7 linked regions of the Oryctolagus cuniculus genome follow. The protein of the gene in region 7 purifies or fractionates together with the protein of the main gene of each other region. This does not show direct contact. Links are inferred from orthologs where the notes say so. Each region holds a gene or a part of one and is shown on either strand. Other genes may lie near its edges. The genes, in order: MTA1, ZNF687, CHD4, MTA2, HDAC1, MTA3 and ZMYND8.

Evidence for each region.
Region 1: the proteins of ZMYND8 (region 7) and MTA1 purify together in Homo sapiens (affinity purification with mass spectrometry; 3 studies listed by BioGRID and IntAct, with this or other methods). This does not show direct contact. The link is inferred for Oryctolagus cuniculus from reciprocal best matches to the Homo sapiens genes ZMYND8 and MTA1.
Region 2: the proteins of ZMYND8 (region 7) and ZNF687 purify together in Homo sapiens (affinity purification with mass spectrometry; 4 studies listed by BioGRID and IntAct, with this or other methods). This does not show direct contact. The link is inferred for Oryctolagus cuniculus from reciprocal best matches to the Homo sapiens genes ZMYND8 and ZNF687.
Region 3: the proteins of ZMYND8 (region 7) and CHD4 purify together in Homo sapiens (affinity purification with mass spectrometry; 7 studies listed by BioGRID and IntAct, with this or other methods). This does not show direct contact. The link is inferred for Oryctolagus cuniculus from reciprocal best matches to the Homo sapiens genes ZMYND8 and CHD4.
Region 4: the proteins of ZMYND8 (region 7) and MTA2 purify together in Homo sapiens (affinity purification with mass spectrometry; 3 studies listed by BioGRID and IntAct, with this or other methods). This does not show direct contact. The link is inferred for Oryctolagus cuniculus from reciprocal best matches to the Homo sapiens genes ZMYND8 and MTA2.
Region 5: the proteins of ZMYND8 (region 7) and HDAC1 purify together in Homo sapiens (affinity purification with mass spectrometry; 7 studies listed by BioGRID and IntAct, with this or other methods). This does not show direct contact. The link is inferred for Oryctolagus cuniculus from reciprocal best matches to the Homo sapiens genes ZMYND8 and HDAC1.
Region 6: the proteins of ZMYND8 (region 7) and MTA3 purify together in Homo sapiens (affinity purification with mass spectrometry, with the first as the bait; 3 studies listed by BioGRID). This does not show direct contact. The link is inferred for Oryctolagus cuniculus from reciprocal best matches to the Homo sapiens genes ZMYND8 and MTA3.

What each region holds. Positions count from the first base shown.
Region 1 is NC_091451.1:47,286,007-47,289,506, forward strand, and holds part of MTA1 (metastasis-associated protein MTA1), read left to right. Parts: intron 1-1,066; coding exon 1,067-1,160; intron 1,161-3,307; coding exon 3,308-3,358; intron 3,359-3,500. UniProt on the Homo sapiens protein: Transcriptional coregulator which can act as both a transcriptional corepressor and coactivator. Acts as a component of the histone deacetylase NuRD complex which participates in the remodeling of chromatin.
Region 2 is NC_091438.1:46,810,594-46,813,406, forward strand, and holds the end of ZNF687 (zinc finger protein 687), read right to left. Parts: coding exon 2,748-2,813; intron 2,618-2,747; coding exon 2,270-2,617; intron 2,190-2,269; coding exon 2,077-2,189; intron 1,894-2,076; coding exon 1,752-1,893; intron 1,655-1,751; coding exon 1,157-1,654; 3' UTR 501-1,156; downstream 1-500. UniProt on the Homo sapiens protein: May be involved in transcriptional regulation.
Region 3 is NC_091440.1:102,900,495-102,904,528, reverse strand, and holds the start of CHD4 (chromodomain-helicase-DNA-binding protein 4), read right to left. Parts: upstream 2,801-4,034; 5' UTR 2,515-2,800; intron 2,030-2,514; exon of another isoform or gene 1,805-2,029; intron 1,671-1,804; 5' UTR 1,590-1,670; coding exon 1,490-1,589; intron 1-1,489. UniProt on the Homo sapiens protein: ATP-dependent chromatin-remodeling factor that binds and distorts nucleosomal DNA. Acts as a component of the histone deacetylase NuRD complex which participates in the remodeling of chromatin.
Region 4 is NC_091432.1:8,957,400-8,960,572, forward strand, and holds part of MTA2 (metastasis-associated protein MTA2), read left to right. Parts: intron 1-167; coding exon 168-285; intron 286-410; coding exon 411-474; intron 475-655; coding exon 656-773; intron 774-1,417; coding exon 1,418-1,520; intron 1,521-1,716; coding exon 1,717-1,816; intron 1,817-1,984; coding exon 1,985-2,173; intron 2,174-2,281; coding exon 2,282-2,356; intron 2,357-2,459; coding exon 2,460-2,518; intron 2,519-2,674; coding exon 2,675-2,772; intron 2,773-2,898; coding exon 2,899-3,038; intron 3,039-3,173. UniProt on the Homo sapiens protein: May function as a transcriptional coregulator. Acts as a component of the histone deacetylase NuRD complex which participates in the remodeling of chromatin.
Region 5 is NC_091438.1:140,171,729-140,175,228, forward strand, and holds part of HDAC1 (histone deacetylase 1), read right to left. Parts: intron 3,434-3,500; coding exon 3,321-3,433; intron 1-3,320. UniProt on the Homo sapiens protein: Histone deacetylase that catalyzes the deacetylation of lysine residues on the N-terminal part of the core histones (H2A, H2B, H3 and H4).
Region 6 is NC_091433.1:159,917,043-159,920,542, reverse strand, and holds part of MTA3 (metastasis-associated protein MTA3), read left to right. Parts: intron 1-2,207; coding exon 2,208-2,359; intron 2,360-3,184; coding exon 3,185-3,407; intron 3,408-3,500. UniProt on the Homo sapiens protein: Acts as a component of the histone deacetylase NuRD complex which participates in the remodeling of chromatin.
Region 7 is NC_091442.1:12,527,391-12,530,890, forward strand, and holds part of ZMYND8 (MYND-type zinc finger-containing chromatin reader ZMYND8), read left to right. Parts: intron 1-1,520; coding exon 1,521-1,681; intron 1,682-2,319; coding exon 2,320-2,386; intron 2,387-3,500. UniProt on the Homo sapiens protein: Chromatin reader that recognizes dual histone modifications such as histone H3.1 dimethylated at 'Lys-36' and histone H4 acetylated at 'Lys-16' (H3.1K36me2-H4K16ac) and histone H3 methylated at 'Lys-4' and histone H4 acetylated at 'Lys-14' (H3K4me1-H3K14ac).

The sequences.
Region 1 (3,500 bases), on a different chromosome or scaffold from region 7:
GCTGATCCGAAGCCAGGAGCCAAGAGCTTCTTCCAGATCTCCCACGTGGATGCAGAGGCCCAAGCACTTGGGCCATCTTCTTTTTTTTTTTTTTTTAAAGATTTATTTATTTGAAAGACAGTTACAGAGAGAGGTAGAGACAGAGAAAAAGGTCTTCCATCCACTGATTCACTCCCCAGATGGCCACAACAGCTGGAGCTGCGGCGATCCGAAGCCAGGAGCCAGGAGCTTCTTCTGGGTCTCCCATGTGGGTGCAGGGGCCCAAGTACCTGGGCCATTTTCTGCTCTCCCAGGCCATAGTAGGGAGCTGAATTGGAAGAGGAGCAGCTGGGATTAGAACCGGCGCCCATATGGGTTGCCAGTGCTTCAGGCCAGGGCATTAACCTGCTGAGCTGCAGCGCTGGCCCCAGGCCATAGCAGAGAGCTGGAACCGGCGCCCACTGGGATGCCGACACAGCAGGTGGCAGCTCTACCTGCTACACCACAGCACTGCCCCCACCTTGTGCACCATTTTTTAAAAAAACCTTTTGTGCTCCACTCTGGTGGCTGGTGTCCAAGCGTTGTAAGGGTGAGCTGAGCCCGGTGGCACAGCAGAAGCGTGGCTGATGGGTTTAGGGCCATCAGAGCTGTGGGTGCTCAGCTCGTGTGGCCCTCATCGCACACAGACGGCGAGGGGCTGGGCTGCTGCGGGTCCCCTTCAGCCTGTGCCTGTCCTGGCACCTGCTTGGCCCACGTGGCCTGGCTGGAGGGCCAGTGCTGTTCAGAGTCGCCTCTGAGGCTTTCCAGGGCCGAGCCGGGCCAAGGTGGGTGGGGTTGGCAGGCTGCTGGGGCGGGGCTCCTGGAGCTGGTGTGACCCCCCCGCCCCTCGTGTTCTGCCCTGGGCCCCGGGCGGGGGGCGAGTCCTTGGTGCATCAGCTCCCTGGGGTTCTCTCCCTGCCGGGGTCCCCGACCCCAGGGGCCTCAAGGTGCCTCGGGGGTCTGCTGCGTGTGTGCTGTGCCCGCCCCTGGGGTCACGCCTGGGGCCTGCAGGAGGGGCGGTGCTCCTGACCTCTGCTTGCTGTTGCAGACGGCCAGCGGGAACGTGGAGGCCAAGGTGGTGTGCTTCTACCGCAGGCGGGACATCTCCAGCACGCTCATCGCCCTGGCCGACAAGCATGCCAGTGAGTCCGGCGGCCCCTGGCCTGGCAGGGAGGGCTGGGGGTCCCAGGGCTCCGCCGCGGCCACGGGAGGCCGCCTTCTGCTTCTTCTGTTCTCTCCTCTCTGTCTGCCCTCGGAGCCCTGGCTGATCACTCGTGAGCTGTCGCCCCGCTGGCCCTTCTGCGCTCACTGAGTCCCTGCTGTCGTGGGCTGGAGCCGGGCTGCTCCTTTTGGGGCCTCCGGAAGGTCCCCAGGCTCCGCCCGTGGCAGGGGGGCCAGGCTCAGCCTGGACTGGACTCACTGGCTCTTTGCATTTGCTGAGAGGGTCCCTCCTGTCGTCCTGAGAGCGGTGTCCCTCTTGGGGTTCATTCTGGTGAGCCCCGAAGGGGCATGGGGAGGCTCCCGCGTGTCACCTGCCACAGGTGCTGGACTGGTGGAGTTGCCCCTGCTGGGGGTGCGTGGCCGGGAGCAGGGCGGCCTGAGGCCCTCGTCTGCGGACCATGCCGCAGGCCACAGCGGGCCTTTCCTGCTGAAGGCTGTCCGGGGCCGCTTGGTTCTGTCACTGGGGTGGGACCTGCGCGTGCCCGGGTGGCCTTGCAGGAGGGTTGGGCAGGGCTTTCTTGGGCGTGGGGTGAGGTGAGGCGCTCCGTGCCGTGGGCCCAGCCGGCGTCTCTGGCGCTGGTTGTGAGTGAGCCTCTGCTGGCGGCTCAGGGAGGAGGTTGTGGGGCTGCTGGGCTCTGTGTCCTGGGCAGGCCCCCAGTGGGGGAAGGGCGGAGCAAGCTCTTGGCCGAGCCCCACAGGCTGCAAGCTTCCGGGGAAGCATCCGTTTGGCCCAGGGCTGGGTCTGGCTTCGTGGAGAGTTGGGCTTGTAGGTGGTCCCCCAGAGGTGGGGAGCCTGAGGAGTGGGGGAAGCCGGACGCTGCCCTTCGTCCCCCAGCCCGTGAGCTGCACGGCCCAGCAGTGTGGCTCCCGGGGCTGGCACAGTGGCTCCTGCTCCTGCCGGGGCCTGTCCCTCCCCATGGGCAGCTGGCCAGGGCTGGGCTAGCCATGGCAGCCTGTGCGTCCTGGTGGGTAGAGGGCCTGGGTGGACTGAGGGTACCGTGGCTCCCCCTGGAAGCTGGTCAGGGCTGGAGGGAGCCCCAGGCCGTGCAGCTCTGGTTGCCAGAGAGGCAGGTTTCCCAGCTGCGGCTGTTTCCTTGGAAAGCTGTCGCAAGAGGCAGGGTCTGTGTAGGACTCTCATCCTGGGCTTGTGGGGGGGGGGGCATGAAGGTTTGAACGGAGATCCTTGACCCCTGCTCAGTGCCCAGCGCAGGCCTCAGGCAGGAGGCCGGACCCCTGCAGGCCTCGTCCCCGATAGCCTCTCGGTCAGGTTGTGGTCGGAGCCTTCCCTCCTCCCTCTGAAGCAAGGCACGGTGACACAGGAGCCCAGGAGAGGGACTGGGCATTCCCATGGCCAGGCAGGACCTGGGGAGGGCTCCTCCCTCCTGAGGCTGTAGTGTGGCTGTTTCCTGGGCTGGTGCTGGGTGTGGGGTCCCAGTCTCCAGTCTGCACCCAGCATGGGGAGGTGGTGTGAGGCTTGCTGGGGGTGTACAGACCCGGGTGCCATCCTTAGCACACTCAGGGGCCCTGGACTGCTGGGATGGGGGCTGCTGTAGCGTGGGGAGGGTCTCAGCAGAGCTCCTGAGTATGGGCCAGGCCTGCCTGGAACAGCCCCAGATTATCCAGATTGATTGAAATGGCAAAAGTCTTGTTTTTCCCTGAGCTGGGCAAGGTGTTAGGACTTCCTGCAGCCACCACTAGGGGCAGCAGAGAGCCATCAGGCTGCACTGATTGGGGAGAGGGACAGAGACATGACCGTGGCCTCCAGAGGGCATTCTGTTGTTTAGTGCAGGGCAGGGGCCAGCAGCCTGGGTGTCCAGGGGCAGGCTCTGGAGGTCTCGCTCCCAGCTGGGGAGGTGGGAGTGTGTACAGGAGGGGTTCTTAGTGACAGCTTGTCAGGGCTCTGCCCGAAGGGGCTGGGGCACTGGGGTGGGCTGGGGCCCACTAGGAGGCCTGTGGCCCCCGTGTCCGCCCTGCCCCCTGGCCACGCAGCCCTGGGTCAGGCCCGGGCAGGGAGAGAGTGGCCGCGGCGCTGACACTGCCGCCTGGGCGCTGTCTGTCTGTTGCATAGCCTTGTCAGTCTGCCATAAAGCCGGACCGGGCGCCGACAGCGGCGAGGAAGGTAAGAGCTGCCCTCTGTGAGGACGCATCCTCGCGCCTGCCCCGGGCGGAACCTGCGCAGGCCGCCTGCATGCAGCCCGGCCCCGAGGGTGTCCTGCAGCTGCAGCGGGCCCTGCTGCGGCCATGCGGGGCCGCCTGGCCAC
Region 2 (2,813 bases), on a different chromosome or scaffold from region 7:
TCCTGTGGTTGGCCTTTGGCCATGCTGCTGCCCAACTCTGTCCCCTCCCAGGGACTGACCCCAGGCCGAGCTCTTTCACAGCGGCTCTGCTGTGGGGTCCCGCACTTGCTGAGCTGCCCCGAAGCGGGGGTGAGGAAGGGAATCACCACAACCCCCCAGCGTATTGAGGGTATCGGCCTAGCTGTGGTTCCTTACCCTGGTCCCTTCCCCACACCCAGGGAAATGGCTCTCAATTTTTTATTTTTAACTCTTGTTTGAAATAAAGTCCTTAGTTAGCCATCTGTGTCATCCAAGTTGGGTCTTTTGGGGCAGGAGGGTAATGAGTGAACAGATGCCCTGGCGTCCAGGAGACAAAAGGCACCACACCCGGGAGGGGGACTCCTTTTCCCTGGCTGTCCTGGCCAGAGCCACCTCTTCCCGGAAAAGGGCCTCCCCAGTTCTCACTCGCAGCCCCCCCTGGCCAGTCCACATTGTCCAAGTCACAAAAAGAGGAGACTGAATGGGGATTAAACCACGAGCAGTTTTAATGGTCTGGTTCTCTCCCTCCTGTTTTCTCCCACTGTTAGTATTATTATTACTACAAGAATAAAGGATTCCTGAGAGCCTGTCCCCTCCTCTCCCTGGGCCCCCCCGACAGGACTCATCCCCACCGACCCCCCTCCCTGGAATTTCTGCGGGGGAAAAAAAAAGACAAGTGAAAGGCACTGCAGGAGTGGGGGGCTTGAGTGCCAGGCGCGGGGGAGGGTGCTGGGGCCGGGCCTGGCCCAGAGAAGGAAGGCTACAGTCCATGCCTGGGAGTCCCCTGACAGCCCTCCCCTGGGTCCTCCCTGTGCCTGTCAGCAGATGCACCGCAGTCCCAGCCGCCCAGCTCCAGTTCCACACTGGGCATCTGCAGCAGGAGCAGAATTAGTGTCGGGTTCAGAAGGGAGGAATGGAGGGCCACTCTACTAGGACCTGTGGGCCGAACCCCAAGGGGTGTGCGGGAGAGGGGGGCTTTGCAAACAACTATAATCCTCAAAAGCTTTCTCCAGGGGAGAGGAAATGAACAAAATGTGAATGTTAATGAAACATCCCAGTCCAGGGACCAAGAGGCAGCAGCAGTGAAACCCAGGCTCCTGGGAAAGACGGAGGGGCTGACTAGTCCCAGGCTCGGGGCTTAGTTGTCCCCACTGCCCCCCTGCCGTGCCCTGATGAAGGCCATGCCATGTGTGCGGAAATGGGTCTTGAGGTTGAGCGGGCTGTCGCAGCTCTTGCCGCAGACCTTGCAGGTCAGCGGGCCTCCAGAGGCAGCCAGGGGTGAGTCTCCACCCTCTGGGTCAGACCTCGCCGGAGGGGGGGCCTCTTCCTCCCCATCCCCCAGCCCCAGGGCACTGGCTCTACCCACACCCCGTCTCTTCTTGTGGCTGATGAACCGGTGCCGGCTCAGGGAGCCAGGGGAGGCGAAGCACAGGCCGCAGTCGAGGCACTGCTGGGCACCGCCGTCCACCCTCAACCCCACCAGGAGGCTCTGTTCCGTTGAGCCACTGCTCCGGTAGCGCAGGGGGCCATGGTCTCCTGACCCAGGGCCACCCCTGGGGGACTTGGCCGGAGGTGTTGTGCTGTCAGGCTCCTCACTGCACGAGTCCGAAGACGGGCGGCGTTTCCGTCCCGGCCCCTGGGGAAGAGCAGGAGAGACGGCCTCACCATCACCCGCACTGTCCCTGTGGTCTCCCACCTCCGAGTCCCTAAGAGCAGGCCAAGCCTCTGCCTACCTGGGCTCTGGCACCAGGGCCCCGGGCCAAGGCATTCCCTCGGCCAGGGGACTGGGCCCCGAGCTGCAAGCCGTGCCGGACCTGGACGTGCTTCTCCAGGATCAGGCGGCTGCTGAAGGTGCGCTTTCCCTCTGTGCAATACCTGGAAGGCCAAGAGTGAGCAGGGTGGCAGCGGGCACAGCCCGCACGCAGTCAGGTCCCACGGCTCCTGAGGAAGGAGCCACCGGAGCAGAGGGAGGTCTCAAATTGAAGTCTGCTTCAACCAGAGGCGACTGAGGGGGTACTTCAGGGGTGAGGGGCAGGGCTGGGGCTGGGCAGGGGGTACCTGCAAGGATAAACTCTCTTGATGCCCTCGTGGTTGACCCTGACATGACGCCTCAGGCTGGGGGCAGAGCAGAAGGAGCGCTCACACAGGCGGCAGGGAAACTTCTTCACCGACTAGGAGAGCAGGGGGGCCCCTCAGTGCCTGGCCCATCCCAAAGCCGCCCTCCGGCCCACCTCGCCACCCGCCCACTCACCTTGCCATGCTCCTTCTTCATGTGCGCCACGTACTCGTCCCGCTCAGGGAACCAGGAGTGACACAGGCCGCAGGTCCAGCCTCCGGGCCCCCCGCCCCCGCCCTTGATGCCTTTGCCCCCTAGCTCCCGCCGGGGCCGCTTGGTCGAGCGGGGGGGCTCGGGGGAGCTAGGCGGTTCCTCCTCTTCGGAAGATGAAGACGACTCCTCGGTAGCAGCAGTGGCGGTGGCGGCAGCCGCCCCTCCCTGAGACACGGCCAGCTCCTCAGGCTCAGTCTTGGGGGTCAGAGGGGCACCCCCAGTCCCTTTCCCTGCAGTCTCCTCCCCCACGCGCCCAGACTGATGAGTGTTCTGTAGGAGGCAGACAAGGGGGAGGGCTGCTGTGGGGGCAGGCCTGCCTTTGCCGGCCCCCTCCCCCACCGAGGGTTGTGGGGCCCTAGTCCAAGTCGGCTGGTCCAGGGCCCTCACCCCACCCTTGTACCTTGAGATGTTCCAGCATGGTCCTTTTTTGAGCAAAGAGCAGAGGACAAGACGGACACTTAAAGAC
Region 3 (4,034 bases), on a different chromosome or scaffold from region 7:
CAGAGATTTGGGAAAGGGGCAGGAATGGGGTGTGGCAAGTGGAAAAACTGGGTCATGCTGCAGCTTGGGGCAGAGTTCACCCTGGAAGCCTGCACAACTGCTAGCAATTTGGGGGACAGTCCCAGACCAAGGGCCCAATGGGAGGCCAAGATGCAGAACCAACCGTGGCCAGACAGCACCACTACTCCTCCCAGCACAGAAAAGATAGGCTCTCCTCACCTCGCTGCCACCCACCCCCAGCGCCCAGCCCCCACCCTGGGCAAAGGCAAACCCCGCTCTGCACAGCAATGAACCTCAAGCCTAAGTTTCTGACCCAATACCGGGAAACCCAGTAACAAGACTGACCCCTCTCCTAAATGACCTGCTCGATGTGAAGAATTCCAACTCAGAAAATGCCAGATACGAAAGCATCTCTCCCGGACCACCTCAACTTCCAGCTGCAGCTGAGAGAGAAGGCAGAAGTGGAAAACGATTGATGGGAAATAAAACAGGACCAGTGGGCTCCACAGTCAGAAAAGTAGAAGCAGAGAGGATGAAACATGGCCCTCAAGGGAAAAAAGAGGTCAAGAAAACAAGCAGGTGCATTAGATAGGGGCTCTGAGAGGACGAGGGAGACAGCGCCGAGGTCCATGACATCAGCCCTCATCTGAGGGCAGAGAAGGGCTATTCCAATTGGGCAGGCTGGTTATAACCATACGGGTTTGGCCAGTTCACGGAGCCACCCCAAAACACAGATAGCGCAACCCCTAACACACCCACACAAACATTAGACACTGCCAGCACAAACCCCAGGCTACATCACAGGCAAAAAGCAGCCTCTAGGGAAAAAAGCCAGCCTCATGGCCACTGGGCAGAGAAGAGAGGGGCCCTAACTCCTCCTGCCCCCTCATGGGAGGCTCCTCAGGCTACTAAATCCCCCCCCAAGGCCCCATCACAGCCCCACTCAAAACATTCCAGCAATTTGCCAGAAGCACTGTAGATCCTGCTAGGGAGCGAGATTCAAACTTCACACAGTTGAAACAGCACAGAAAACCGGTAACTGATCAGAAGCTAAAAATAATCAGATAGCAAGCAACCAACACTCCCTCTGTCTTTCCCACAGCAGTGACCACAGGCTCCTCCGACTGCACCCTCCAACGCCTCCACTACCCCCAAAGAGCCCCCCCCCCCCGCAGGGTCCCAGCGACCTGCGGTGCTCCCCAGACCCACGCAAGGGAACGCCTGCCAGTCGGGAGAGCTCCCTCAGCCGGGAACTGCACGGCATTCCTCCAGACAAGCGGGTGCAGCAAGCTCGCATCTGGGCCCGTGGTGCCCGGGAGGCGCATGGCTGCCACCCCCCTCACACAAGAGCTCCTCAAAGGGAACCACTCCCTTCGGATGCCCTTCCACCTCGGGCTCTGCACAGCCAGCCACAACGCCCTGCCTTCGCAGTCACTAGGGAGGGCACAAAGGCCTCCTTCCTGCCCCCGGGCCCCTGGGAAGGTGTTACCTGGGTGGGGTGGGGGCAGGCTGTTGTTCAAAAGTGCATCCATATCCTCCTCCTCACTGCCCGCTGAGCAGGGGGACGGTGAGCCCAGGCCCGACGCCATCCCCTTCCGCTGCTCCCGGCCAGGGAATCGGCCCAGCTGCTCCTGCCTGCGGCCTGGGGCCCTCTACACTGGCCCGAGTCACTGTGCGGGGGAGGGGGGAGAAAGAGAACAGTCAGTGACGCGCACCGGCCCCCTCCCCCACCCCCACCCGTTCTTTCCGCCACCCCCCCAACCCCAGCCACCCCGGCAGGGCACCCGAACCACTCAGGCTGAACTTAGTTCCACACTCCTCGGGGGCAGCCCGGAAGCCGGCGCCCCAACAAGCGCCCCCGCGAAGAGAGGCAGCGACGCCCCCGAGGACAGACTGGTGCAGGCGTGGGGAGGGGAGCAGCCGGCCCGGCCCAAGCAGGGTGTGACGGGGGAGGGGGTCCGAGTGACCGCGGCGCGGGCTGGGGGGGCGGCGAGGCGGCCGGCGGCGAGGCGCTCGGGGACACAAGGTCACTTGGGGGTGGGGGGGCGCCTCCCTGCGCCCTGGGAGGGGCCAGTTCCCAGACAGGGCAGCTCTCCAAGGGCTGTCCTCTGGGACAACTCAGGTTCTGCTCCGGAGCCGCGGGGACCAGGGGGGCGTGGAGGCTCGGGTGCGCCGGGGGGTGGGGGGGTCCGGAGGCAGGGACGTGGGGGGCAGGAGAGCGCCCACCCGGAAGGGGGCCGGGCCACGTGTCCCGGGGGGCAAGTGAGCAAAGGGCGAGGGGGCGGGCGCCGGGCATTGTGGGAGACCCAGCCCGAGCCGGGGGTCGCGGGGAGCGGGGCGGGGGTGGGGGGAAGCCAGGCACCCTGCAGGGAAGGGAAGGGAAGAGTCGGCCCCTCAGGGCAGGGGGCGGTCCGCGGGTCTGAGGAGCCCGAGGAAGGAGCGGCTGAGGGGATGGCTCTCGGGGTTTGTCGGGCTGAGGGGAGCGTCCCTGCGGAAAACCGGCACTCTCCTCACCCTCGAGCCGCCGCAGGTCGTGCTGGGTCCGGCCGGTTGTCACTCCCGCTCCGGCTCCTCCTCGCCGCGGCCGAAGGGGGGAAAATGGCTCCGGCTCCGGCGTCGCCTCTTAAAGGGCCCGAAACACCGGCCGGGAAATCCCACCGCACAGGCCCCGCCCCCCCACGGACAGCCCATAATAACCTCAACCAACTCCAACCCCCCCTCCACTACCGCCACCCTCCTCCCTAGGTCTCCCGGGCAACCCCCGCCCCCTCGTCGCTCAGGCAACCATTGGCCACGCCCCCTCAGAGCGCGCGAGCGCGCGCGCGTCACCCGGGCAACCGCCCACCTCCTGGCCATCCCATAATACACACGGACACCCCACATACACTCACACACACCGATTTCCCCCCCACACTCCTTATACATATATGCGGTGGGGGGGCGGCTGACATAATACTACCGGCCTTTTGCAACTAACCCTCTCCTCTCTCTGACATCCCATAATAACCATCCTTTGCCAACTTCTTCACTCTTGGCTCTAATGCTAACATCCCATAATAATTCATCACCTCTCCCTCCCCAGGGCCATCCCATAATAAGCACCCCTCCCAGTACTTCAGCCTCATATCCCATAATACTCATCCCCACCCCCCCACAGACATCCCATAATAACCACCCTTCATCCACCCCCAGCTTGATATCCCATAATAATCAGAAACTCACCCCCCACACACACATACTACAACGGACACTCGGCCTCCTCCCACACACATCCCATAATAATCAGTCTCCCACTTTCTATACTGACATCCCATAATAACCAACCCCCTAGAGCTGCCCTCAGTCCCAGAAGGCTAGGGTCTAGAATGCTTACAACTCCACGCCCAGCCTTCATGCTCTCCTTCTAGCTCCACTCCCCCCCTGTCAAAAAGATATCCCATAATGATCAGCAGCCCCACTGTCACCCCCCCAGATGAACATCTAACCTTTCCTAACACTGCAAAAACATCCCATAATAATTTTACTCCCCCACCCACACCCTGACATCCCATAATTTCAAGGAACCTGTGGTCAAGCAGACATACCATAATACTCCCAGCACAACCCAGTGTCACATCCCATAATGCTCCATCTCCACTCAGCCAGGCATCCCATAATACTCCTGTGCCTACCTCCCCCACCTGCAGAAGCTGTCAGTCTGTTCTAACACCCAGAGCTGGGAGAGACAGGCTACCCACACTGCCCTGTACCCGCCCCCACTTGCACACACCTTATTCCCTTCCTCGGCCAGAGCAGTATCCTGGCATAAACAGTTTCTTGATGTCTAGATGTCTAAGACCCTATTTTCCCTCATCCGGTCATTTCCAGACACTCAGCAGCTGAGCACCACCAACCTAGGGCTCCACCCCAGTCTCACCAAAATCCAAGTATTTTCCAGATGTTTACTTCCAGCTCATAGTTTTGAGTAAGACTAACCAGATACCATGCTGATCAGATGAAACATTTACATAAAGTTTAATTTGCCCCAGAACACC
Region 4 (3,173 bases), on a different chromosome or scaffold from region 7:
AACAGGGCATAGAGAAATGCTGGTGGGATAAGAGAACAGAAGGTAGATGCAGGGAGAATGTGAGAAAAACAGCTGAGCCAGGAAATATTTTCCCTGGGTAAGAGTTCCCTAGGTAGTGACTTTCTGGATTTGTGTTTGACTTGGTTTCTTCCTCCTTAACCTTGCAGGGGAGTTTGAGGAGGAATCTAAGCAGCCTGGGGTATCAGAGCAGCAGCGACATCAGCTGAAGCACCGGGAGCTTTTCCTCTCACGGCAGTTTGAGTCGTTGCCAGCTACCCACATACGGTACAGGATGATGGGGCCCAGTGTGGCCTGTGTGCACCTCTTAGGAGAGGGAGAGGAGGGTGGTGTGCTGGAAACGCCGTGGAAAGCAGGAGGACTCACCTAAGGTTTTTGGCCCTGTCCTCTAGGGGGAAGTGCAGTGTAACCCTCCTGAACGAAACAGATATCTTGAGCCAGTACCTGGAAAAGGAGGTGAGAAAGAGGCGTTCGGAGAAGAGGGAGGGAAAGGGTAATGCTCCCACAAGACAAGAGGGAAATAGGACAGTGATGAGGTATGGGGTTGGCAGACTGCCTGTCCTGGGAACTGAGGGTACTCCATTGCCCCGCCTGTCTGGATTGGTGCCCTGCTTACCTTCTGTCTCCACATCTCCAGGACTGCTTTTTTTACTCGCTGGTGTTTGACCCTGTGCAGAAGACACTCCTAGCTGATCAGGGGGAAATCAGAGTTGGTTGCAAATACCAAGCTGAGATCCCAGATCGTCTGGCAGAGGGTAAGTAACAAGAGAGACTGCATGACTACTGGTTATTTAACTCCAGTGGGCTCTTGGTTGCCATAGTGTCTGCAGATGGGGTACCTTGGAGGGGCTGGCACTTGCAAACCTGGCATCCTGTTATCAGAGTACAGGTTTGAGTCCTGGCTGCTCTTCTTCCAGTCCAGCTTCCTGCTAATGTACCTGGGAAGGCAGAGGAAGATGACCCAAGCACCTGGGCCCCTGCCATTCATGTGGGAGACCAGGATGGAGTTCCTGGCTCCTGGCTCCTGCCTGGCTCCTGCCTGGCTCCTACCTGTCTGTTGCAACCATTTGGGACTCGAGTGAACCAGCAGATGGAAGATAATATCTCTTGCTCTCTCTGTCACTCTGCCTTCTAAGTAAATAAATAGAATCTTAAAACAAAAAGGTGTGCCGAGTATACAGTACAGTCTGCAAGGTTCTCTGCAGGGGTCCTGACAGAAAGGGATCTTAGGAACTTAAAAGGCAAGGATGGGCACAGCTGGGACAAGAAATCCGAGAGTTGGGGTGGCTGATAGAATCCAAGCAGGAGAAGAGGAAAGGAAGTGCCATTATGAATTTTAAGACACCAGTTATTTTCCCTTTCGTTGTCCTGATCATACTGCCATTGCTGTCTTCCCTAGGGGAATCTGATAATCGGAACCAACAGAAGATGGAGATGAAGGTCTGGGACCCGGACAACCCTCTCACAGACCGGCAGATTGATCAGTTTCTCGTGGTGGCCCGGTGAGGGGTGGGTGGATGGGGCAGATGGGCTGGGGGAAGTGTGTATGTGGCTTTGAGTCCTACCCATTCTTAGAAATTCTTGTTCTTTATTTCTCTTTTTTATCTTTGGCATGGGTGATTTCCTTCTTCTGGCTTATTTCCTCAGCCCATTCGACTTTTCTTTTTCTTTTGTCTTAACTTCTCCTCTCTCCCTTAGAGCTGTGGGGACCTTTGCACGAGCGCTGGATTGCAGCAGCTCCATTCGGCAGCCAAGCTTGCACATGAGTGCAGCTGCCGCCTCCCGAGACATCACCCTGGTGAGCAGCAGTTGGTGGGTAGTCGGGCAGGCGGGGGTTTTGTGGGGATGCGCAGAGCCTGGGGACAGGGGAGGAGGGTGTCTCAGAGGGAGTGGGAGTGCTTACAGAGCAGCGCGAACTGGTACCCAGGCTTCAGGTCCTGAGCCTTGTTTTCCCCCTTCCCTGTAGTTTCACGCCATGGACACATTGCAAAGGAATGGCTATGACCTAGCTAAGGCCATGTCTACCCTGGTACCCCAGGGGGGCCCAGTGCTGTGTCGGGATGAGATGGAGGAATGGTCTGCCTCTGAGGCCATGTTATTTGAGGAGGCCCTTGAGAAGTATGGGAAGGATTTCAATGATATTCGCCAGGATTTTGTAAGTAGATGGGTATAGGCAGAGAGGTGGGAGAGGTAAGGGAATGAATGAATGTACCAGGCCCTGGAGCTACATGTCAGCTCATCTTTCTTCTCTCACTCTCCTTAGCTACCCTGGAAGTCACTCGCCAGCATAGTCCAATTTTATTATATGTGGAAAACCACAGACCGGTATATTCAGCAGGTATCGTCTGGGGTTGGGAGGCTGGGCTGGAAGCCACCTGTTGTGTCCTCCCTGTTGAGATGCACTGATTCTTCTCTTTTTTGTCTTTTTTCCCTTTCCACAGAAAAGATTGAAAGCTGCTGAAGCGGACAGCAAATTGAAACAGGTCTACATCCCCACCTAGTAAGTGTGGTGAGCAGGGTAGCAGTTTCCCTCTCTTTCCCCAGCTGTGTTTCCTTGGTAATTGGGGTGGGCAGAAGCCAGGGTCAAATTACGGAGGCAGGGCAGCAATGGATTCTTTTCCTTAACTATTTCTCTTTCTCCTGTTTTCCTCTTTAGCACTAAGCCAAACCCTAACCAGATTATTTCTGTGGGTTCAAAACCTGGTATGAATGGGGCTGGATTCCAGAAGGGCTTGACTTGTGAGAGCTGCCACAGTGAGTTCCAGGGGGGACAGGGTGTGGGGGGTGGCTGGGAGGCCTGCTGTGGCCCGCTGTGGCCCAAGAACCTCAGGGACTTGGGTAGCGTGTTTTGTCCCTGACCTCCTCTCTGGGTCCTTACAGCCACACAGTCTGCCCAGTGGTATGCCTGGGGCCCACCCAACATGCAGTGCCGGCTCTGTGCTTCCTGTTGGATCTACTGGAAGAAGTATGGGGGACTGAAGACCCCAACCCAGCTTGAGGGGGCTGCTCGGGGCACCACAGTAAGGATTGATGGGGTACAGGCAAGGGCCAGCAATATGCATACTGATGGGAGCTTTAGACCATATTATGCAGCTGTTCATATGATGATGGTTTGATTGGCAGGGGGTGATTGACAGTGTTGGGGAGCCAGGTGG
Region 5 (3,500 bases), on a different chromosome or scaffold from region 7:
CTTTCAAATAAATAAGTAAATCATAAAAAAAAAAGGGGGGGGGGAGAAAGACAACAGGTCTAGCATTAGGGAAGAGAGATGATACTAGGTTTTTCCTTTAAAAGTTTATGATAGGGGCTGGCACCATGGCACAGTGGGTAAAGCTGCTGTCTGTGGAGCCGTCATCCCATATGGGCGCCAGTTCAATCCACTTTTTTTTTTTTTTTTTTTTTGACAGGCAGTTAGACAGTGAGAGAGAGACAAAGAGAAAGGTCTTCCTTCTGTTGGTTACTCCCCAAATGGCCGTTATGGCCGGCGTGCTGCGCCGATCCAAAGCCAGGAGCCAGGTGCTTCTTCCTGGTCTCCCATGTGGGTGCAGGGCCCAAGCACTTGGGCCATCCTCCCCTGCACTCCTGGGCCACAGCAGAGAGCTGGACTGGAAGAGGAGCAACCGAGGACAGAACCCAGGGTACTGGTGCCGCAGGTGGAGGATTAGCCTAGTGAGCCGCAGCGCCGGCCTCAATCCACTTCTGATCCAGCTCCCAGCTAATGCGCTTGGGAAAGCAGGATGGGTAGCCCAAGTGTTTGGGCCCCTGCACCCATGTGGGAGACCAGGAAGAAGCTCTTGGCTCCTGGCTTCAGACTGGCTTAGCTACGCTGTTGCAGCCATTCGGAGGTAAACCAATGGATAGAAGATCTCTCTCTCTCTCTGTCTCTCCCTCTCTCTGTCCATAACTCTGCCTTTCTGTCTTTCAAATAAATGAATAAATCTTAAAAAAAAAAAAAAGTTTATAAGAACACCACAGGGAAATTCACCTCCCATAAGGAAGTTACTACTGGTTGCTTCCCAAAGAGCCATCCTGTTCCTTCTTCCTTGGTAACAAAATGTACCCAGCCCTAGGAATAGAATCATGATTAGCCTAGGCCAGCTCTGGTAATTCTATCCGTCTACACTGGTGAGTGGTCTCAGGAATGAGATGATGGGAGGTAAGGGGGAGTGTATTGGGAAGCTCCTGGGGAGTTTTTCTCCTTGATAGAAAGAGCTAGGCGGCTCCCCAGAGTTCCTGAAAACCTCTGCTGCCTTGTATGCTTTCTTCCCCACCTGTTCTTCACACCTGATAAAGCACTGTGGTCCCAAGGTCTGCTCGCCCTGTCTACCTTCCCCAGTTGGCTCCACCAGCTCCAGAGACACGACAAAGCCATCTGGGACAGAAGACTCATCTCCTTTCAGTCTCTGGAATGGTGAGAAGGATGCTGCTGTTGCTAGGTTACTCAAACTGTCAGTACAGCCTTTAACAGCAGGCACCACGCCATAAAGCAACATGGGCCCCCAGCCCCTCTTTATTTTCTCACTTGGACTCTAGCAACAGGCTCCTAAGTGGCCTACCTGCTTGTAAAATACATGCCTATCTATTCTTATATCTTTTATTTAAAACCTTTCACTTTTCCCCCACCACCTCCAGAACAGATTAAATTGGGAACCACCGAACCACATTTGGTCCGCACGTGTATTGATGTGTTTTATATACAAACATTTAAAACAAAAACCCTGTGCCAACATTTTAAACCGAGGAGGTTTTGCATACTAATTTGGATTTCCAGCTTCTTAAAATCTGGAAGACCAGGTAGAATCAAGTGGAGCTGAGACTGGTGGTTAGACAGAAGCCTACACTCTCTCGTAACCACAGACTTGGCAACTTGTCCAACACGATCCCCAGTCACTCCTTTTTTAGCCACTGGATTTCCGACCCTGGCCTACAAGAGTGGTTTAGCACAGCACATCCAACGCTGGCTGACCTCTCCAGCTCTACGCCCTGCCTCACGTCTGTGAATTCACATTGTATCCCTACACATAAAAACGGATTTTTCGGCCGGCGCCGCGGCTCACTAGGCTAATCCTCCGCCTAGCGGCGCCGGCACACCGGGTTCTAGTCCCGGTTGGGGCGCCGGATTCTGTCCCGGTTGCCCCTCTTCCAGGCCAGCCCTCTGCTGTGGCCCGGGAGTGCAGTGGAGGATGGCCCAGGTGCTTGGGCCCTGCACCCCATGGGAGACCAGGAAAAGCACCTGGCTCCTGGCTCCTGCCATCGGATCAGCACGGTGCGCCGGCCACATCGCGCTGGCCGCGGCGGCCATTGGAGGGTGAACCAACGGCAAAGGAAGACCTTTCTCTCTGTCTCTCTCTCTCACTGTCCACTCTGCCTGTCAAAAAAAACAAAACAAAAAAAAAAAAAAAAAAAACGGATTTTTCCTCAAATACCTCAGCCTTTTTGCATATATAATATGCATATGCATATACTGCATATATTCTTCCCCCTACCAGTCCCCTCCTGAACTCAAGGATAATTTTTTGTAAGATTTATTTATTTATTTCAAAGTCAGAGCTCTTCCATCTGCTGGTTCACCCCCCAGATGGCTGCAATGGCCAGGGCTGGGCCAGGCTGAAGCCAGGAGCCAGGAGCTTCATCTGGGTCTCCTACTTGATGGCAGGGACTCAAGCACTTGGGCCATGTTTAGCTGCTTTTCTCAGGACATTAGCAGGGAGCTGGGTCAGAAGTGGAGCAGGGGCCGGCACCGTGGCATAGCAGGTAAAGCTGCCGCCTGCAGTGCCAGCATCCATATGGGATGCTGGTTCAAGTCCCGGCTGCTCCATTTTCAATCCATCTGTCTGCTATGGCCTGGAAAGCAGTAGAAGATAGACCCAAGTGCTTGGGCCCTTGAAACCACATGGGAGACCCAGAAGAAGCTCCAGGCTTCTGGCTTCAGATTGGCCCAGCTCCAGCCATTGCAGCCATTTTGGGAGTGATCCAAAAGACAGAAGACCTCTCTCTGTCTCTCTCTGTCTCTGTCTCTCTCTGTCTCTGTAACTCTACCTTTCAAATAAATAAGTAAATCTTAAAAATAAATAAACAAACAAGTAGAGCAGCCAAGACATGAACCAGCACCCATATGGGATGCCAGCTTGGCAGGGAGTGGCTTTACCCACTACACAACACCAGCCCCTCCAGGCTAAATTCTATTCAATCTTTAAAATTTCTCATATATCACTTCCTAGAATCAATTCAAGCCCCCTTTCCTCCTTCCTTCCTCATTATCTCTGCATCTTGCACATTTTCTAAACTGTTGCTCTTACACACTGCAGTATGATTTATTTATATGGGGGTCTCCTGCAGCTGGGAATTGAATACAAGTGCTCCGAAGTGGAACACAAGCATCTTAACTGATAGGCCAATGCCCACATTTGCTTAATGAGTGCATGGTTTAGAAAATCAGATAGTAAATGGCATTTGGGGGACCAGAGCTGATGAGGTAACAGAGGGGAACACTCGCAGTAAGTAACTCACATAGATTTCCATTTTCCGGTAGAGACCATAGTTGAGCAGCAAGTTGTGAGTCATGCGGATCCGGTGAGGCTTCATTGGATGGCCTTGTCCATAGTAGTAATTCCCAACATCACCTGAAGAACAGGGAGAGTTCTGATGACCGTTAGACACATACTCCCAGGAGAACCCAGGAATTTTTAC
Region 6 (3,500 bases), on a different chromosome or scaffold from region 7:
TTATTATTATTTTTTTATTTAACAGGTGGAGTTATAGACAGTGAGAGAGAGAGACAGAGAGAAAGGTCTTCCTTCTGTTGGTTCACAACCCAAATGGCCGCTACGGCCGGCACTGCACCAATCCGAAGCCAGGAGCCAGGTGCTTCTTCCTGGTGTCCCATGTGGGTGCAGGGGCCCAAGCACTTGGGCCATCCTCCACTGCCCTCTCGGGCCACAGCAGAGAGCTGGACTGGATAGGAGCAACCAAGACTAGAACCCGAAACCCATATGTGATGCCGGTGCCACAGGTGGGGGATTAGCCAAGTGAGCCAGCCACGGCGCCGGCCCCTGTTTGTTTGTTTATTAAAGATTTATTTATTTATTTGAAAGTTAGAGTTACACAGAAAGAGAGCTTTTCCACCCGATGGTTCAATCCCCAAATGGCCACAACGGCTGGAGCTGCGGTGATCCAAAGCCAGGGGCCCAAGGACCTGGGCCATCCTCCACTGCCTTCCCGGGCCACAGCAGAGAGCTGGACTGGAAGAGGAGCAACCGGGACAGAATCCAGCACCCCAACCAGGACTAGAACTCTGGGTAGCAGCGCCGTAGGCAGAGGATTAGCCTAGTGAGCCGCGGCGCCGTCCTGCAGTTGGCATCTTAATATACACAGTTTGAGCATTGTGATCTGAAGAAGATGACTTATTACAGATCAGAAAAGAATGTGCCAAGGCAGATTTATAGCACTAGAATCATTTTCCTGCTCCTCTTCGACCTAATGTTGAAACATCAATGTTTTCTGTCTTAAACTTCATATCCATCCTGGATATACAGGTTTCTTAAATGTTAACATGGCATAATTTAAATTGCAAGATAAAATTTACACAGACTTGCAGTGTTGTTCAGCCATGTGATAAGTCAACATGTTTGGGTCTTAAAATCATGTTGTGTGTACTCATTTGATACAGATTTATAGTTTTGAACAAGAATCTGTTTTTAGAAGGAGAAATCATAACATAAGGATTTTATCTATTGATTAAAATAAAGGGTTGGAAAACAGAGACCTGTTTCTGTTAGGTTCCTAACCTTCTTAGTGGGGCCTTTCTGAGTACCTTAAATAAACCCAAGCATGGTTTATGAACCGTAGGCTTATAAACTGTGACTTAGGTTTTAAGCACTAGTAATAAACACATTATCTTTCTGAGAACTTATTCCAGAAATGTACACCAAAAAATATTTGAATTAGTGAAACAAAAAAAACTCCCTCAGAGGCACAATGTAAAATATAGGATCCCTCACCTAATAGTCTCTCTCTCTCTCTCTCTCTCTCTCTAAGATTATTTTATTTATTTGAAAGACAGAGTTACAGAGAGAGGTTGAGACAGAGAGGGCTTCTACCCACTGGTTCACTCCCCTATTGGCTGCAACGGCCGGAGCTGCGCCGATCCAAACCCAGGAGCCAGGAACTTCTTCTGGAGCTCCCACGTGGGTGCAGGGGCCCAAGGATTTGGGCCATCGTCTGCTGCTTTCCCAGGGCACAGCAGAGAGCTGGAATAGAAGTGGAACAGCTGGGACTAGAGCCGGTGTCCATATGGGATGCCGGTGCTTCAGGCCAGGGTGTTAACCCGCTGCACCACAGCACCGGCCCCCCCCTTTTTTTTTTTTTTTTTAAGATTTATTTATTTATTTATTTGAAAGGCAGAGTTAAAGAGAGGCAAAAGCAGAGAGAGAGAGAGAGAGAGAGAGAGAGAGGTCTTTCACCTGCTGGTTCACTCCCCAAATGGCTGCAATGGCTAGAGCTAGGCTGGTCCGAAGCCAGGAGCCTGAATATTCCACATGGGTGCAGGGGCCCAAGGACTTGGGCCATCTTCTGCCGCTTTCCCAGGCGCATTCATAGGGAGCTGGATTGGAAGTGGAGCAGTCATGACTTGAACCGGTGCTGATACTTAGATACTGTACATACCCACTATGCCACAGCAGCGGCCCCTAATAGCCTCTCTTAATATGCGCCACAAGTGCTTGATTTATAATAAGGATAAATGATTTAATGAAAGATACATGTGTATGTGTTGTACTTTCATACTTGGCTTATAAGTTAGGGGAAGAAAAATAATCCTATAAACTGAAAATGGCTTTGGGATGTTTTTGAAATATTTGATTATATTTATACTGATGTTACAAATTACATGGCATCCTTTTTTTTTTTCCTCTTACTTTTCTCTCATCTGTAGCTACACAGTCTCACCAGTGGTATTCTTGGGGCCCACCTAACATGCAGTGTAGATTGTGTGCAACTTGTTGGCTTTATTGGAAAAAATATGGAGGCCTGAAAATGCCCACCCAGTCAGAAGAAGAGAAGCTATCTCCCAGCCCAACCTCAGAGGTACACGAGCAGCAGTGGGTTCTAGTGTTGAAAATGTCATGCTTTTCAGTGATCAGATCATTCCCTGGAAGCAGAAATAAAATACAGGATAATGTCATAATGAGCAAAGCTGTTTTCATAACTGAACATAGCACTACTATATTCAGGGTGGGTGTGGAAAGAAGAGCAGGAAAAAATAATTTTCTCCCCAGGGATTCAAAATAATGGTCTTGGGAGATTACTCAGACAAAAGAATACTGTATGTGGGAGGTGTCAACACAACCCGAGAGTTTACAAATTAAATGTTTATTTTAACTGCTTTTGAAAACAGTGTGTAATCTTTAGATACTATTAAGCATGTCTTATTACATAAAGTAATAAATGTAAATTAAGCATTTTCTTCCTCCCTGGTCTATTGTGGAGGGACAATAAGAAATGGACTCAGTTTATCAACAATAGTTGATGCATGACTTTATAAAATCCTTCTGGATTGAAGATGTTAAGCCTGTGTCTACCAGAGGGCACCTGTTGTTGTCCAATGCTCACAGAGTCTCAGCACTCCTTGATATTAGAAAACAAAACTAAGCAAGCCTCGCTCCCTTGGCAACATGTGATTTTGGTTTGTTGCACAAAAGTACAGAATTGTACCCCCAACCCCATTCCCTTCTCTGCTCCCCACCTCCTTCCCCAGTGTGCACACTTTCCAATTCTGTCTCATAGGGGTGGAATAGTAAGTTACAGAAACTGTGGCGGGAGCTTTGAAAATTGTGCTGTTTTTAGAGCATGATGTAAACAGTAATGTCTTTGCCGAGCTCTGCTAACGTTTGTTGGTTTCTGACTTGGCAGGACCCCCGCGTCAGAAGTCACATGTCCCGCCAGGCCACACAGGGCATGCCAGTCCGGAACACTGGCAGTCCCAAGTCCGCAGTGAAGACGCGCCAAGCTTTCTTCCTTCATACTACGTATTTCACAAAGTTTGCACGTCAGGTCTGCAAAAACACTCTCCGGTTGCGGCAGGCAGCAAGACGGCCATTTGTTGCTATTAATTATGCTGCCATTAGGGCAGAATGTAAGACGTTTTTAAATTCTTAACCTCATGTGTTGTGCTTCCGACCATCCTCTCTTTCCCTCTCTTTCTCTGTGTTTTTCCCCCCTTTTGGTT
Region 7 (3,500 bases):
CATCTGTCTGTCTCCACGTGGGCCCCGGAAGCCCCTGAGCGACGGCAGTGCACAAGGTCGCCTCCCCCAGCACAGCCATCTCGGCCAGAGACGCTGCAGTTGTGGCCGGGAGGGACCTGAGCTTTAGATGGTGGCCTGGGCCTGCAGCGGGAGACTGTTAGAATTTGTCGGAATTTTAAAAGCAGATTTTCCATTGCATGTGATAGTAGGTTTGTGTGCTTAGAATTAAAAGTCTCCGTTGTGAAGACTTTGTGAGCGGTCCGGGTGGCCCTCTGTTTCTGTGGGTCCCAGCCTGGGACAGAAAATGTTCCAAGAAAGAAATAGCATTTGTAGGGATGTGAGCGTACCCCACCCCCAACACCCCATGTCCATACTCGCCAAACGATGCACTGCGACTCTGTTTCTGTAGCGTTTCCATCGTATTGGGATGTTACAGGGGTCTGGTGTGCAGGAGGCATGTGCAGATGCCGCGCAAATACTTTGCCGTTGCATGGAAGGGGCTTGCGCGTCCGTGGGCTCTGGGACGTGTCACGGGGCCCTGCGCACCGAGAGCTGACGTGTGGTATCAGTCATACGAGCTCGCGTCAGGCAACCCCTGCAGAGGTGATTTGTGGATGACTCGGGTTTGAGAGGCTGGAGACCAGGGATTGGCAGCCATTCTCGGGGAAGGCCCCCGTGAATATTTTGGGCTTTGGGGACTGTGTGGCCCCCATCACCGCTGGTCACCCCTGCCCTGGCAGCCCAGAAGCAGCCACCGACAGCCTGGGCACGGGTGGGCGTGGCTGCAGCCAGCAGAACTGTTTCCGGATTTCTCTGATTCTTGCTCTCGACAGACCTCTGGGATTTTGTCAAGGGCAGTACAGGAGCGCACTGCTGTGTGCCTTTTATTTTTATTTTTTTAAAGATTTGTTTATTTGAAAGGCAAAGTGAGCTGTAACCTTCCCTAGGGACCTGGCTTCCCTGCAGCGACTTGCAGTCCCCCCTGCTGTGGTGGCCAGTTGTCCCTGAGTTCTCCAGCGCGCCCGAGCAGCCCCTCGCTGTGTCCCTGTTGGCCCAGATGGCCTTGGTTATTCCACTTTTGAGGCACGGGACACCTGCTCTCTGCAGATCTCCCTCCGGCGCCCTGTGCTTGCCCAGGGTCCTGCCTCTGCTCTGCTCCTCCCAAGCATTGCTTTCCCACCTGGGGCTAAGGCAGGTCTGAACCTAGAATGAGACCCCTCTGGTCACACACTGCCTCCAGCTAGGGGCACTCTGTCATTGCCGGGTGGTTTAATAAAACGTGGGATGCACACTGTTCGGAATTGCCCCAGCTCTGGACACCTCTGGGGAGCCCCCCACTTCGGGCCTGCCCTCCTGCTCCAGTCCCAGGCTGGGCTGGGCGGGCGGCAGCTGCCTTTGCAGACGGGGTGGGGTCAGAGTTGGTGCTGGGCCGCGGGCCGCGTGGGCTGGAGCAGGGCTCCACGCAGGGCCCCAGTCCGCCATACTCAGTCCCCGTGTGGCTCCTCTCTTCTTCCTCCCAGCTACTGCCCCGCAGCAGGAAGCTGACGCCGAGGTGAACACGGAAACCGTCAGCAAGTCAACCCAGGGGAGCTCCGCCAGCACCCAGGCGGCCGCCCCGGAGACGCCCAGCACCCCCAAAGAGAAGGAGGCGTCCGCCGAGAAGAGCAAAGACAGCAGCTCGGTGAGGGCCCTGGCCTTGGGCCCGTGACCCCAGCTCTCCCCCCCCACCCCGGCCATGCCTGCCAGCCCTGGAAGCCTCGTGCTTGTCCGTCTGGGGCAGTGATGGAGTTGTGTGTGTGTGTGTGTGTGTGTGTGTGTTTAATTATTAGAGGGGAGAGGAGACAGGTCTTCCATCTGCTGGTTCACTCCCCAGATGGCCGCAACAGCCTTAGTCATGAGCCAAGGCTGTTTCAGGGCGAGCACTGATCATCTTTCCCACGTTTATCCTTTTGCATTTATTTCTTGGCGTTAGGAATGAATGAATCACTGGGCTGTCAGTAAAGCCCTTTGGTTTCTTTGCTAGCCCTGCCCGTGAGGCTCCATCATGGAACACGTCTGTGGTGTGATGTGGAAGTCAGCGGCTTCTTCCTTGGGAATGGGGAAGGTCTGGAGAATGGGAAGGTGGGGAATGTTCTAGATCAGAGACCCTCAGGGTGCTCCCCGTCTGTGCTCTCGACCGTTCCTTCACGCTGGGGGCAGAGCACGAGGTGCGTGACCACGCCAGGCCCGGGCGCTGGGTCGCCTCGGGGTGGTGTGAGTGCCCCCAGCGGCCCGCTGGCCCCGCGGCCTGGGTCCATCCTTCTCTCTCTGTGTTTCCAGACCCTCGACCTTTCTGGCTCCAGAGACACACCCTCCTCCATTCTCCTAGGCACCAACCAAGGCACAGGTAGGTCATTCCCCGCCGCTGACCGTGGGCACCGGGCACTGTGCGCCACGGAGGGACAGGGTTGATGGCAGCGGTTTTCCTACTGCTCCAGGTCCTGCGAGATGCCACGGGTGGGTCGGGGGCAGCTGGGCGAGTCAGCCTTCAGGCAGGTCCCTGGGCCCATCGGCGTCGGCCGGCCGCACGTGGTGCATTTACTGTGGACCACCGGGAGCTTTGTCTGTGCGGAAGGCTCCGGGTTCACTCTGGCATGTGCTTGGCCCCAGGCTGTCCCTCTGCCCGCAGGGACGTGGCCCAGCTGTCAGTGGGGCTTCCCTGAGGTCCCAGCACCCGCGTTGGGTCCAGCTGGGTGCCTGGGCAGAGGCTGCTTTGCTGTAACAGCCTCTCTTCGCGGGTCACTTCCTAGGCTGGGCTGTCCAGGGCGGTTTTCGGAGACGTCTGGATTCCTTTTGTTCTGTTGGGCCGTCCTCCCTTCCCGGCCAGGCGGGGCTTTCTCCAGCTTGGGTCCGTCCTACAGGGGTCATCTCACTGTCGCCTCCGCTCCAGCATCTTGTCCTGTGAGGATGCGCTCCAGGTGGACCCCTGGAGCCCCCGGTCCTCTGTGTCCTGGGTGTCAGAGGAAGAACCCTGGGGCTGGGGGAGGTGTGCCAGGGTGGACGTCAGGTCAGCAGGTGTGGGGGGGCCCTGGAGCTGGCATTCGGTACCACCGCACCACCCGTTAGAGGTGCCGCTCGCCCACTTCCCTCCAGCCCTCTCGGAGGCTGTGGAGTCGCGGCGTCTCATGCTGTCTCCCGAGCGCAGACCTGCCATGGGGCCTCTGTGGAGCTTAATCCTGCACCTGTTGTCTGTGTTGATGTACAGTTCACCTTGTTTGTGGCAAGCTTTATCCATCTCCTTTTTGGTGGTAGTGATAAATAGTTAACCCTGCACCAGGCAGTTGTGGGAGGGCAGGTGGGTCACAGAGGGGTGGGGTGGGTGATGCCTGGGAGGTGTGGGGTCTGTTGGAATTGGGGGTCACACATAGGAAGGTGTCAGGAGAGGCGTCGTAGTCCATTTCTGAGGTCAGCAAGGGGTACCTAGACCAGGGGTCGGCAAGCAACATACAGACGGGGGAGAC